2 linked regions of the Arabidopsis thaliana genome follow. The protein of the gene in region 2 interacts with the protein of the main gene of each other region in a pairwise test. Each region holds a gene or a part of one and is shown on either strand. Other genes may lie near its edges. The genes, in order: MYB30 and SEC.

What was found.
Region 1: the proteins of SEC (region 2) and MYB30 interact in binary tests that used the Arabidopsis thaliana proteins (3 or more experiments, as listed by UniProt).

Annotation. Positions count from the first base shown.
Region 1 is NC_003074.8:10,909,291-10,913,954, reverse strand, and holds MYB30 (myb domain protein 30), read right to left. Parts: upstream 2,824-4,664; 5' UTR 2,513-2,823; coding exon 2,380-2,512; exon of another isoform or gene 2,054-2,379; coding exon 1,924-2,053; intron 1,808-1,923; coding exon 1,099-1,807; 3' UTR 765-1,098; downstream 1-764.
Region 2 is NC_003074.8:1,114,865-1,123,121, forward strand, and holds the start of SEC (Tetratricopeptide repeat (TPR)-like superfamily protein), read right to left. Parts: upstream 6,070-8,257; 5' UTR 5,859-6,069; coding exon 5,708-5,858; intron 5,342-5,707; coding exon 5,196-5,341; intron 5,105-5,195; coding exon 5,006-5,104; intron 4,925-5,005; coding exon 4,874-4,924; intron 4,754-4,873; coding exon 4,637-4,753; intron 4,524-4,636; coding exon 4,467-4,523; intron 4,294-4,466; exon of another isoform or gene 4,062-4,293; coding exon 3,942-4,061; intron 3,826-3,941; coding exon 3,763-3,825; intron 3,670-3,762; coding exon 3,591-3,669; intron 3,489-3,590; coding exon 3,379-3,488; intron 3,285-3,378; coding exon 3,231-3,284; intron 3,159-3,230; coding exon 3,091-3,158; intron 3,014-3,090; coding exon 2,911-3,013; intron 2,819-2,910; coding exon 2,616-2,818; intron 2,221-2,615; coding exon 2,124-2,220; intron 2,014-2,123; coding exon 1,942-2,013; intron 1,855-1,941; coding exon 1,778-1,854; intron 1,679-1,777; coding exon 1,477-1,678; intron 1,208-1,476; coding exon 1,040-1,207; and 10 more. Other genes in the region: AT3G04250 (F-box associated ubiquitination effector family protein), read left to right, coding at 7,086-7,964.

The sequences.
Region 1 (4,664 bases), 9.8 Mb from region 2:
TCGAACCAAAATCCAACAATAATACAAGCAAATTTACTGTAGATGCAAAACACCCACAACTAAGTCCGAAGACAAAGTAGAACCACTGCCATACATTTACTATAATCTCCGGTTCGGTTTTAGCATTTTTCTTTTCTTTCTAAGTTTCTTACCATCGGCATAACAAGTGGCAATATCTTAAAAACCAAAGGAGAAGCTAAATTAATGGCGATATTGACTTCTTCATACTTAGTAACTATGTGATGTAAGTCACACAACTCACAAGGTCACAAGAAAGAAAGTCAAACTTTAATTCTTCATCACTTTCAATATTTATAGTGCCAATCCATCCCGTTTTTAAAATTTATATTTATCTTTTTATAATTAGTTTCTTTAAACCTTGTCGGCCCTATTTATTTCATGCAATAAATATTTCGTTAATTTTTCTTTACTAGTACTATTTTCTTTATTAGTAGGTCTTTCAAATTCACCAATAGTAAGGCTATCTTTAAATCTAAGATTTCATTTATTGAGCGGCGCCATTTGACACTCTAAAATAAATGTTAAGTGTTTTCCTTAGTGAGTTAACGGTTAATTTAAGGAAAATAAATTGACAATTAAGTGCAAGTTGTAAGTATTTGATTATTAATTCTATATCCCACACTTACTAGGCTACTACACATTAGGACTAATTAATCCGGATATGAGCGAGCATTTTTTGGTCATTCTCCAATATATATATGTAATTTTTTTGTCAGTGTATGTTTAATTTGTAACAGAATTACTTTTAGGTTAACATCTCAAAAGTAAATCATACTTACAAGTTACAAAGCAAAAGAAAAATCAAGCAATAACAACATTTTAATAAATAAAAAATAGATATAGGATTTTACACCAATACTACTAAAATCATTGGGTGGACATTTTTCAGGCCCCTTCAGAATTCACAGGGCCATATATAAAACAACCCCATCATTAATTGTAAATTAAAGAGGGAAAATAAATAAAATTATTACTGATTTATCTCACGATAATCTAAGCGAGTTAATTTGGAAAACCCAAAAAAAAAAATAGAGATGAGGATCCTAAAATTAGAACCATGTGATTAAAGCAAACTCTTCAGAAGAAATTAGTGTTTTCATCCAATAGAATATCACCAATCTGTCCACCAGAATCCTCAAACAACCACTTCTCAAACAAAGACCATTGACTTTGGTTACTGCAGCATCCAGTTATGTCTGGTTTGGTCTCATGATCAGGTGAAACACCAGCCTGTTGATATGAGTGATCAAACTCAGAAAATGACTGAAATGCCCCTGCACACTCCTTCCCATCATCACTCTTGATCACTTCTTTTACCTCTGTAGAAGCGATTTGATCCGCGGAGTTTTGAGTCTTCGGCGAGTTTTTCACCCACCCTTTGAGCAATTTCGCGATATTTTCGGTGCTTGAGGCATAAGTTGTAGATGTTTCTTGCGTCCTAAGAAACCCGCTAGCTGAGGAAGTAGAGCGTCTTGATTCAGCAGAGGAAGACGTTGTTGTCACTGTAGATGTAATGATTGGTGCAACGGCAGGAGATAAAGCCTCAGAGAGAGCCTTTTTCGCCAAGTGGATATCGGTTTGAAGTCGCCTTTCCCATTGGCCTCTTGAGATGTTTGAGTTGGAATTAGCAGAAGAAGACGATGGTGAAGATGAGAGCGAGGAACGGTCAAGTTCTTGATGAGAATCTTGATTGACTTTGTTGAGTTTCTTCTTCAAATGAGTGTTCCAATAGTTCTTAATGTCATTGTCTGTCCTTTGTGGAAGATATGACGCAATTGCAGCCCATCTACACCAAATATTAAATGCTCTCTATTAAAAATCAAAACAAATCTTCTAATTTTCGAAAGAAAATGTGTGAAGAGACAAAATTAGAGAAATTGAAAAGTCATTATTATTTTTTACCTATTTCCTAAGAGGGCTTGGAGATGAACAATCATCTTTTCTTCATGTTCTGTGAAATTGCCTCTTTTGATTCCTGGCCTTAAATAGTTTGTCCATCTAAGTCTACAACTCTTGCTGCATCTAAGCAGCCCTGAAAATTTATAAGAACGAACAAATATTGAGAACCGATGAGAAAATATATAAATAACAAGATCTCATGCATTAGATCTTAATTTCATGGTCAATAAACAAAACCCTAATTTCTACATATGTTTTCATTAAGCTGATTCCACAATCTTAAAGACCTAAAGAAGAACCAAATGAAGATCAAAACCAATTTGGAGAACACAAATTTCAATCCAAACCAATTTGATTCCTTGTCTATCTCTCACTCTCATAGATTAAATCCAAATAATATCTACATACAAATCTATAGAGAGGTAGAGAGGAGAGATGATGAATGAAGATTATACATACCAGTATTGGTAGGAACAGCTCTCCAATTACCAGGACCATGTTCTTGGATGTAAGTGACTAAAATGATATCTTCTTCAGGAGTCCATGGCCCTTTCTTCACTCCTCCTTTGTCACAACAAGGAGGCCTCACCATTATGATCTTGAACTCCCTTAATTAACTAATTAATTCTTTATTAACCACTCCCTTTGTTTCCCACTATAACTCTTTGCCAAGAAAAATAGAAGAAAATTGAAACTACTTTAGGTGGTAATGAGTCACACTACCCTTAGTACACTAATTAGTACGCTTAGCTCTGAAATGGATCTAATGGTTAAGCTTGGCGACAAAGGTCTATGTCCACTTCTTCTTCTATATATATATATAAAAGGAGAAAGAGAAATTTGCTGACCCCTCTTGGTCTTGGACTCTTGGGTCTCTCAAATTGTATAGATAATAAATAAAAGTATATAAAAAATGTGTAAAGCATTAACTACAAAAGTGGAGGTAAAGCCTCCAAAGTCAGCTGTGTGGCAAAAGGAAAAGTCTCTACCCTCCATACAAAACCGCGTGGCATTCAATGTGGGCTTGCTTCTTTCAAAAACCCTAATAACACAAACAAAAAAAATATTATTGGGTTTAATAATTTATTGGTTTATGTTATTATTAAAAAATAAAGAATAATGGGGACATGCATGATAACATGATAATGATATATGATATGATATCTCCCTCTCTCACTTTTGATTTATTGCTACGATAATTTTAAGAATTGAATAGTGGCTATTGCATTTATGTGTATTGCATAGGCTTTGTTAATAATAGAAATTAATGAAAGGGTCTTTTGACGAACGAGATTTTCTCTGCGTCATGATTTGCTGTTTTGGTTGTTTTTTTATCAAAACGAATAGTTTTTTTTTTTAAGATATAGAAGAAAAGAAAAAATTGCTGTTTTGGATTGAACCAGTGGGTCTTTGGCCATTGTCAAACTACATGATGGTCTACGTCATTCATGATGTTAGCGACTTCTCCATATATAGATTTATATGCGTTTATATGTATTACGTTACATAAACATATATGAATACATGATGTTGAACGTTTTATTCGGGTAAGGTTCGCGATTAGTGTTAATGGACCACAATTTGAGTTTATAGTAAACATAGTTTTAGATGGAATTAATTGTACGTTACATATGTCGTTATCGTAGGTGGTGAAAAGAAATATAGAGATATTTGTATGAGAATTTGGTATACAAGATAATGAAGATTTTTGGATTTGATAGACACAAGTCATACAGCCACATTAAGTTTTGATGAAATTAATTGTACGTTATATATGTCAATATCGTAGGTGGTGAAAAGAGATTAAGAGATATTTGTATGAGAATTTGGTATAGTAGATAATGAAGATTTTGGATTGATAGACACAAGTCATATACAACTATATCTATTTATGTGAACATGTGTATGTATGTAAATGTCAACAAGTAAAAAGGATGAAATCAATTTGGTTTTCACGAGGCCGGAAGAAAAGGAAGAAGAAGAGACACGAGACTACTTTAATTTCTTCTCTTTTGTCAATGTTGTGCTATAATTTATTTATATAGGTAGGAATTTTGAATGACAATTTGTACAAGTGTGAAATTTTCACTTTGTGGAAAGTTTATGATTTACGTTAGATATAATAATAAAGTTGTGTTAAACAGGCTGTTTAATCAAACATATGGAATGAAACTCGAAAAGGTTTTTGTCTACATAACCACTTTGAAAATGCATGGTCTTTCTTTAATCATAAACAAAACTGCTTAAGTATGTTTTTTTTCCACGTACAATGTCCCGTTTTCTGTTTAACCATTAGTAAAACGGTAAGTAGATATCTTACTGTTTTCATTTGTATTATTTTTATTTACTAAGAAGTAATTTTTATCCATTAAAAATATAGATATATTTTTTAAAGAAATATTAAATTATATTCAAAGAAAAATAACATTTGTACCGTGAAATTGAAATGAGGTACAAGAATTTGCTACTTAATTTCGAGAGTCGAACCAAGTTTGTAATCCTTTGTAATTTTGTTTTGTTTACAGGTTAGATTCGTATCTTTTGGATTTGAAATTTTTTTAATTTTTTTTTTACAAGTTCATCATTACATTGAATTATCACTCCTTGCCATAATATTTTAGTACCAAGTTGCAAATCCGAATTTTTATTGAATGTAATTATGTAATACGAAAATTCGACGGCCACAAAAATGGGAGATGTATACTTTATAATATATTGTAATAGATTTGGTATTTTCTTTTACT
Region 2 (8,257 bases):
AGGATTACATCGGCAAGGACACTTCGCCTGATATGTTCACTCTTCATGGCAACATCAGTGAAGATAATTTGATCAGGCTGTACACCTTGGGCAGCAGCATCTGGATATAAGGTCAAAAAAATAAGGTTATAAACGATAGAGAAAGCAGAAAGAACAAGGAAATGCTAGGCGATTGAATGGAACCAAACGTACATGTGCGAAACCTCATCTCTCCGGCTGCTGGAAAACGGAGAAGCCAAAGAGCACTGTTGGGTACTCGTTTAAGAATGTTGCACCTATAAAAAAATAAAAACAAATCAGTTTGTGCATGTATAAATTTACATCTATACAGAGTGTTATTTATGGTATCATGATGGTGTAAGGTGTCATACGTAAATTTCCAAACAAACTTGCAAAGCTAAGGAAAAACGTTTACCAAGTATTAACGATCTCAGGATCCATTTTGTACAGTTGGTTGAAGCATGCAAATATGAATTTGTCTTCAGGAAGTCCATAGTCTGATCGCTTGGGCTTCGAATTTGGATCCAACACATCCTGATTTTTCTGCAAACAGCATTTATACGATGAGTTTTATAAAAATAACTGTGGACCTGATGAATGTACAATAACATGGTAAAGAAAACTTTCTCGGAGCATACCTGCTTGTAATCATTGACAAAGTAGCAATGGGGAAGGTGGACCAGCTTCTCTGAGTAAATATGTGCATATTGCAGAGGAGACACGAACTGAAAAGTAAAAGAGAGTAACCAGTCATGACATAGAGAAAAAATAAGGTTGGAAAAAAAAAATGTTCTGAAGATATCTAGAAAACTATAATTCAATTGCAAACCTCATCAGTCACTAGATAGTCAATATAGGTTGCTCCAGTGGTACCCGGGAAGCCCATATATGAAACCTGGATCGGAGCAGGCTGCATGGCAAATATTTCATTTCTAGCCCCCTGCATAGGTTAAACCAAACAATGTTAGCAAAAACATTTCCATAGGAATGGGTACAGCTCCAGAGTAAAAAGTTTCTGAAATGTTCAGAGCATGCATGCCTTGGTATAACCGTTTAGATTGATGAGGATCTGGATTTTGTCTTGGTTTATAATTTTGGCGATAGCATCAGATGACATAGCAGAAACGTCCAGGAAATGCTCGGCTTCTGACTGGATTCGCTGTCTCCACTCAGTATTATCATTTGCACTCAGAGCATAGCAGAAAACCTGGGAAAAAATGTGATTTACTTTGCTGAAAAGCCAAAAACAGGATAGGCAGATACAGAATGATATACCATCAATTACTAAAGTTCTATATTCCACACACAGGACCCGTACGGTTCCATACATTCCTACCATCATAAGAACTAAACCCAGCATGTACGAATTTTATAGCCTCACTAGAAAACACTGGGTTGAAGAACTCAAACTCTCGATATAAAATCAGAGCAGACCTAAGAAATGGATCAACAAGTATCCAAGTGCAGGATACAAACCTCAACGTTTTCTCTGTTGTGCATCCCAAACACTGATCCCATGAGGTGTGACAACGGATGGTTACCAAAATCACTGCTCACGTATCCAATCCTTAATCTCTTAAATCCTCCCTCACGTTTTACAGGGAGCCCAGCTGGATGGGTAAAAGGAGGTAGTCCAAAACGAGAAGCGATTATGGAGCAGTGTGCAGCGTATTTACGACTGAAAAAATAGGGGATTTATAAGAAATAGGCATATACATAAAGATAATATAAACATGTATTTTCATGAGTATTGAGTATTAAAAAATCAGCCTCAAACCTGATTTCAAGGGCAAGAATAGGGTCAATAGGATATGCTATTGCATGGAAGGGCTGGACACTTGGAAGGACCGACATCTGAAGATAGGATCAATAGGATATGCTATCACCTTAATCTGTAATAGTATATAAGTACCACAAATTTTGTGTGGCGTAAATACTTACATTTATTTGCCTCCTAATAATGCTTTCAACTTCAGCGAACATTTTGCTACGGTCCTCCCAACAGCATACACACTGGTTCAGCAGCAGGAAAGAAAAAATGGAGACGAAGGGAGAATTAACAAGTAGAGAAGAAAGAAGCTATCATAACAGACGTGTGACATCAAACCAGGAAAAATAAATACCTGTAAGGTGTGTAGAAGGTTGCACGTTGCTTCTGGGAAGTCTGGTCGTAGAAGCAAGGCCTGCTTATAGCTCGTAATGGCAGCTTCTACATGCCCACTGCTTATGCAAGAAGGTGCAACAAATACATTAATAGTAGAACAAATATTTTTCTGGTCAAACATACTAACTCCTCAGTTAAAAGGTGGTCATTAACTCATTGTTATACTGCCACATCTTAAATGTTCTAAATCCCAGAAAACAAGAGCCTAACACGAAACCACCTTAAGAACTGTACGTAGAGATATAAAGGCTTCTAGTGAAGTAGGAAAATTGTAAGTAATTTTAAGATATATGACACCATAAGCTATTCAAGAACCATGAAATACACAAAATTCTTCTCGAGTCAGATCTTTTCGTTCAAGGTAAAGATGTTTTGGCTCTGTTCTTAGCTAAGCGGTATTTGAACATGTGTCTGGTATACCTAATAAATGAAAGATAAAGACAATGGTTACCTATCCTTGTAAGCTGAGGCCAGGTTTGCGTGAGCTTCAGCCATTGTAGGCCGGAAGTTTATAGCATGCATGTAATCCTGAATTGCTTCAGTTACCCTCCCGATCTCTTTGTAAGTATTCCCTCTATTAACCAGAGCGTCAGCTGCCAATGGGTCAATACGAAGAACCTCATTATAGCAGGATATAGCATCCGAGTAATTTCCCTGTAGTAAAGGAGAAGAAAACAAGCTAAATTTGTCAAACATGAGCAAGACTACAAAAATGATTAAAAATTGATAATGGAGCACGTAGCTACCTGTTGCTTGTAAATTATAGCAAGGTTATTGAACGGAGCAGATAGCCCTGTAGTTACAGCCAGAGTAGCCTTGAATAATGAGGAAGCAGGACCCATCATATTCCTGTTTCAAGTTGTGAAATGGATTTTATGGTCATTTAGTCTTTTCTATCTAGCAAAAAGAAAGAAAGGATCACATACCACTCCATATAAATGTTTCCAAGATTAGCCATGGCTTGTGGATGATTTGGTTGTAAAGCAAGACATTGCTGCAGTATAACCACAGGTTTGTGAGTAATACGCAAATTCACTAGTAAGTCTCAGATGGAAAACACACATACATTATAACACCGAACTGCTTCATCAACTCGCCCAATATCCTTCAATGCATTACCCTTCAAGTTCCAAATGCAAAAAATATCATATGTTAGATACTGAGAATTATAGTTCAGACACAAAACCCACAAAATGTGTGTTGTTGATGCTAACCAAGTTATTGTAAGCCTCCAAAAATCGTGGATCCCGGGAGAGAGCCTGCTTGTAGTGTCGAATTGCTAAATCTAGTTGACCTTGCTCATAGTATATACTGGCTATATTCCCTGCATTTAGTAGTTATATGTCAATTATGAAAGACGTCACGCATTTACTTGGCAAGTATATTTTATTTCAGCTGAGCATTTAGTTGATCAAATTACACTCACCAAATGCCATTGCAGAATTTGGCCGCATCTGTAAGGCATGCTGATAACACATGATCGCTTCAGTAGGTCTCCCGAGGGCCTTAAGACATAGAAATATAAAATTTTGTTACTACTATTGTCCAGAAAACATTATTGCACTGAACATATCTTAACACACTATACGTAGACATACCTTATACACGTTTCCTAAATTTAAATATGCATCAGGGAATGCAGGTTTCAACTTCACAGCTTCCTGGTAAATTAAGAAAATCAGCCAACATAGTTAAAACATAAAGAATTTAATCTGGGGGACAAACGCACACATAACACAATGTCAACAGGATCTTTCTAGGAGAGAATGAAGCATACCTTGTAGTATTGAAGGGCTCTGTTGAGATCACCTGACTCCATGAAAAGACCAGCAAGATTCGACCATGCAATAGCAAATGTTGGTTGTATACGAACAGCTTCAAGGTAACAACTGTATGCCTGCACAAAATATTACATTCTAACTATTTGGACTCTGGCAGTAGACACTGACTATAAGACTGACGATCATCCCTGCTTGCCTTTCAGTAACAACTTGATGTCTGTATTGATTGTGGATTATGACACAGTACAACACAGAAAAATGAATGCATCTATTAGTAATTGCAGTTGATAAACCAGTAAAATGACTACAGATGTGATGCTATATTCCTAGTGCATCACGTCACCGTCCATTTAATTATAATATATTTTGGTTCAATTAAAAGTTCTTCTGCAATGACAAAACTTTGATCAATCAATTGTAGAATTAGGGGCCGCATCCATAACTAGGACACAAGAAAATTGCAGATAATCGGGTTGGAACAGTAACAGAATAACTTAAATAGACTAATTCGAAAGACTTACTTCATGAATCAATCCTTGAGCCTTCATCAGATTCCCCAGATTACTATGTGCGTCAACCTAAGAACAGTTTACATTACCAGGTGAGAAGACTAACAAAAGAAGATAGACAGTGAATCTCCCAGCAGTAGTGAGACAGAAAACTTAAAAAGAAGGATCATAAAGTCAATTACCAGAAGTGGATTCAATGAGAGGGCCTGCTGACAGCATTGTGTTGCCTCACTGAGTCTTCCCTTTCGCATGTATGCACTTGCCAAGTTCGACCAAGCATCAGCAAAATTGGGCCTCAGCTGAAGAATTATATTGAAAAGAAAGTGTAAGCAAGGGGAAATGAAGAAAGGTAAAAGCATCAGTATAGGATGAGAAGTGAATAGCAGATATCGAGAAGCATAAATTGGATATAGCACAACCTCAATTGCAATTAAATAGTAGCGGATTGCACGATCAGTGTCCCCTTTTTCCTGGAAATAGCAGATTACAGATATAAGAATATATGTATTGGCAATAAAACCACCTGATCAGACAAAGACCAAGCCATTCACCTTCCACGCGTTTGCCATGTTTCCATAACACTCAGCAAACTGAGGTTGAATACGAAGAGCTTCTTCATTTCGAGCTATGCACATATCATACTCTTGAAGCTGCACGGTATATACCATACAAGTAAACAACTAATTAACCGAAAACAAGAGGATAGAGTAATGACTAATGAGATAAGGAGAAAAATAGTACCTGGTAATAAATAGCACCAATTAGAAGAAGATTATCAGTGCGTAATGGGTTTCTCTGGTAAACCATGTTGCTGTGCTCCAGGGCTTGTTTGAAATCGCCTCCTTTGTATAGCTGATGAGCAAGAGCCAGGCGTGCGTCATCATCACCTGCACGAAACGCTTACAGTAAACATCAGCACAATCATTACCAGTCACATTCTCCCAAAAGAAGTTAGCTTTTTTATCCTAAAACGAACAAACCAAATAACAAAGCTAAAAACTTTGCTCGCCCAAAAGTAGAATTCCCAAAAGTCAAGTAGCAGTTAGTAGCAAGTTTGATTTCACCAAATCTAATGATCTTTGAATTGTAACATAACAATTATACCTAGAAAAGGAAAATTAGATCGCACAACCTAGTGTTCTTAGTAAAACAGATGGAAACTAACTTCCACAAGGATCAGCTGTGAAGATGCGATTACACAAAGAAGGGACATCGAAAAAAAACAAAAATTTAAGCTCGTGACAAATCAGAACCTTCATGAGTCTTATTGAACTGCTGGAGGAGGCTCGAAGAAGACGAAGAAGAGACAGACAAATCAAGCTTTCTAGAGAAGACTTCATCAACTCGATCGGAAAGAAAGACAGGTCGGGAGATCATGGCAGCTCCGTTTTTGGACGAGATCATCGCGTCTTAATGAAATTGAACACCAAATTCCCCCAGATCACAAGTCTCCGGGACTTGGCCGGAGAATCAAAACACCGATGATAACGCAAGAGAGAAGAAAAGGGCAAAACCCTAAATTATCAAAATTCGTTTTTTCCGACCTCAGAAGCTGTAGCTTCGTCTTTCCTCTTTAGCTTTTATTTGCCTTTTTTTCAATTTCCTCTTTCCGACCAATCAAGATTTCACACATATAATTAGACTTAATATTTGACACGTGTAAATTTCAACGCCGTTGATTTTACGTATCGGGGTCAAAGAGTCAACAAAAATCTGGACAAAACCAAATTCTTTTGTCTTTAGTTAACACGTGTCTAAGACGCAACAGTGTTTTCTTCTCAAAGGTTGTAATTTACAATCCACCCAAAAACAATCTTTAATCTTTCCCAAATAGTGCCGCAAAGGCATTAAATGTGCCAACAATAAAACGTAATCCTGATTAATTACCTTAAATATATTGAGAAAAGAAAATAACAAAAAATTTACAATATCTTCCTCTCTTTGTCTACTCCAATATATTTTCTTTAAATACAAAAAAATTGCATACTAAATCGAATTCAAGGGTATCACAATTCTAATCTTATTTGAACTTAACTGCATGTTTACTTGATCTTCTTTTTCTAGAAGTAAATATTAAATGTCACAAAAATGAAAACAATTCACATTTGATTTTAATTAAAGATGGACGCGTGTTTTGGCAGCTTCCACTTATCAAATGTTTCAATTAAAGATGGAATTTAAGATACTGTTTTAAATTCCAATAAGCCCATAGTTAGCCCAGCTTCATACAAACTTGATGCTCTCCCCATACAAATGGTCATTGTTGGTAAAGAACTTGGATGTTATGAATGTGATTACCAAAAAGAAAACAAGAGAAGATTCTGAAGCCCACGATTGGGCCCAACTTCAAATTCCTATGTATAGTCTTCTGCGGGAAAAAAATCAGAGGAAAAGAAGAACACTTTTTTAAGGTTAAAAAAAAAAAAACCTTGTTGCAACTTGAGAAAACGACAACGATGATCTTAAATCTTCCAAGGGATTTGATAGAGGATATTGTATCTAGACTTCCCATGAAGTATATGAGGACATTGAAATTAACTTGCAAAACGTTGTACGCTTTATCCCAAAGTCAGAGCTTTATGAAGCTGCACATTAGTAAAGAAGCAGCACCGCGTAGAACAGGATATGGACATGTACAGGTACGCTCTAGGGTACGTGAACAAGAACAACTCTTGTCGTAGCCACAAAGTCTTGAGGTTTATAGATCATTACATCTCTTCGGCCGTGAACCACGCACCCGAAAACCGGTTTTCATGGTATGAAATCTACGATATTGAAACCGATTTATGGACAACTCTTGATGTCCCTCCATATTGGATAGTATCGTGTTATCAGCGTGGTGTTTCTCTCAAGGGAAATACCTACTTTTGTGCTACAAAAAGTAACGCAATAAACAAAATCGACGATCACATAATCTGTTTTGATTTCACAAGTGAGAGATTTGGGCCACTTTTGCGTCTACCGTTTAGCGCTGGCCATGATGACTATGTGACTTTATCTTGTGTTAGAGAAGAGAAGCTTGCGGCTTTACTTACGCACAACGACTGGAATCCATATGAGTTTGAGATATGGATCACGACTAAGATCGAGTATGATAAAGTGTCGTGGAGCAAGATCTTGGAAATGGATACAGGACCATTGGCTGACATGCCGATTGCATATATACATGGGAGTTTCTTCATTGACGAGGAGAAGAAAGTCTCCATGGTTTTTGATCACCACAGAGTCAACATCATTGGAAAAACTGGATATTTTAGAGAATTGGATCTCCGAGTACATGTAGCCGGCATAAAGTGTAGGCCACATTTGTGCCCTTACGTTCCAAATTCAATGCAAATCAAACAACCTCCGGGAGGCAAAAGGAAACGAAAACCCATTCTAGAACAGCGTCGATATGACCAAAACATGTTGAGAGTTGCCGCCTTTATAAAGCGAACCAAGCAGGAGGATAATAAATGGAAAAAACGAGTCCTCGAGGGTCTGAAGAAGCAAACGAATTTTAAAGCCTAATTTAGCCTCCTTCGTTTACTCACTCTTTTTCTCATTGAATAAGATTACTATCCTTATTTTGTTTCTTCCTATCTTATGCAATATGATGAGGATTTTCTAACTTTTGTTACTATCGTTCATTTGTTTCTTCCTATCTTTTTCGTGAACAAAACGTTTGTTAGTAAGACCAATTCAGCTGCGTCTTGCTATTTGCGTTTCTTATATAGAAAGATCCAACACTAAAGAATTAAGTATCAGACTGGAGGGACCTGGTGCAACACTAGTAAAAACTGTTCTACACTCGGAACTACATG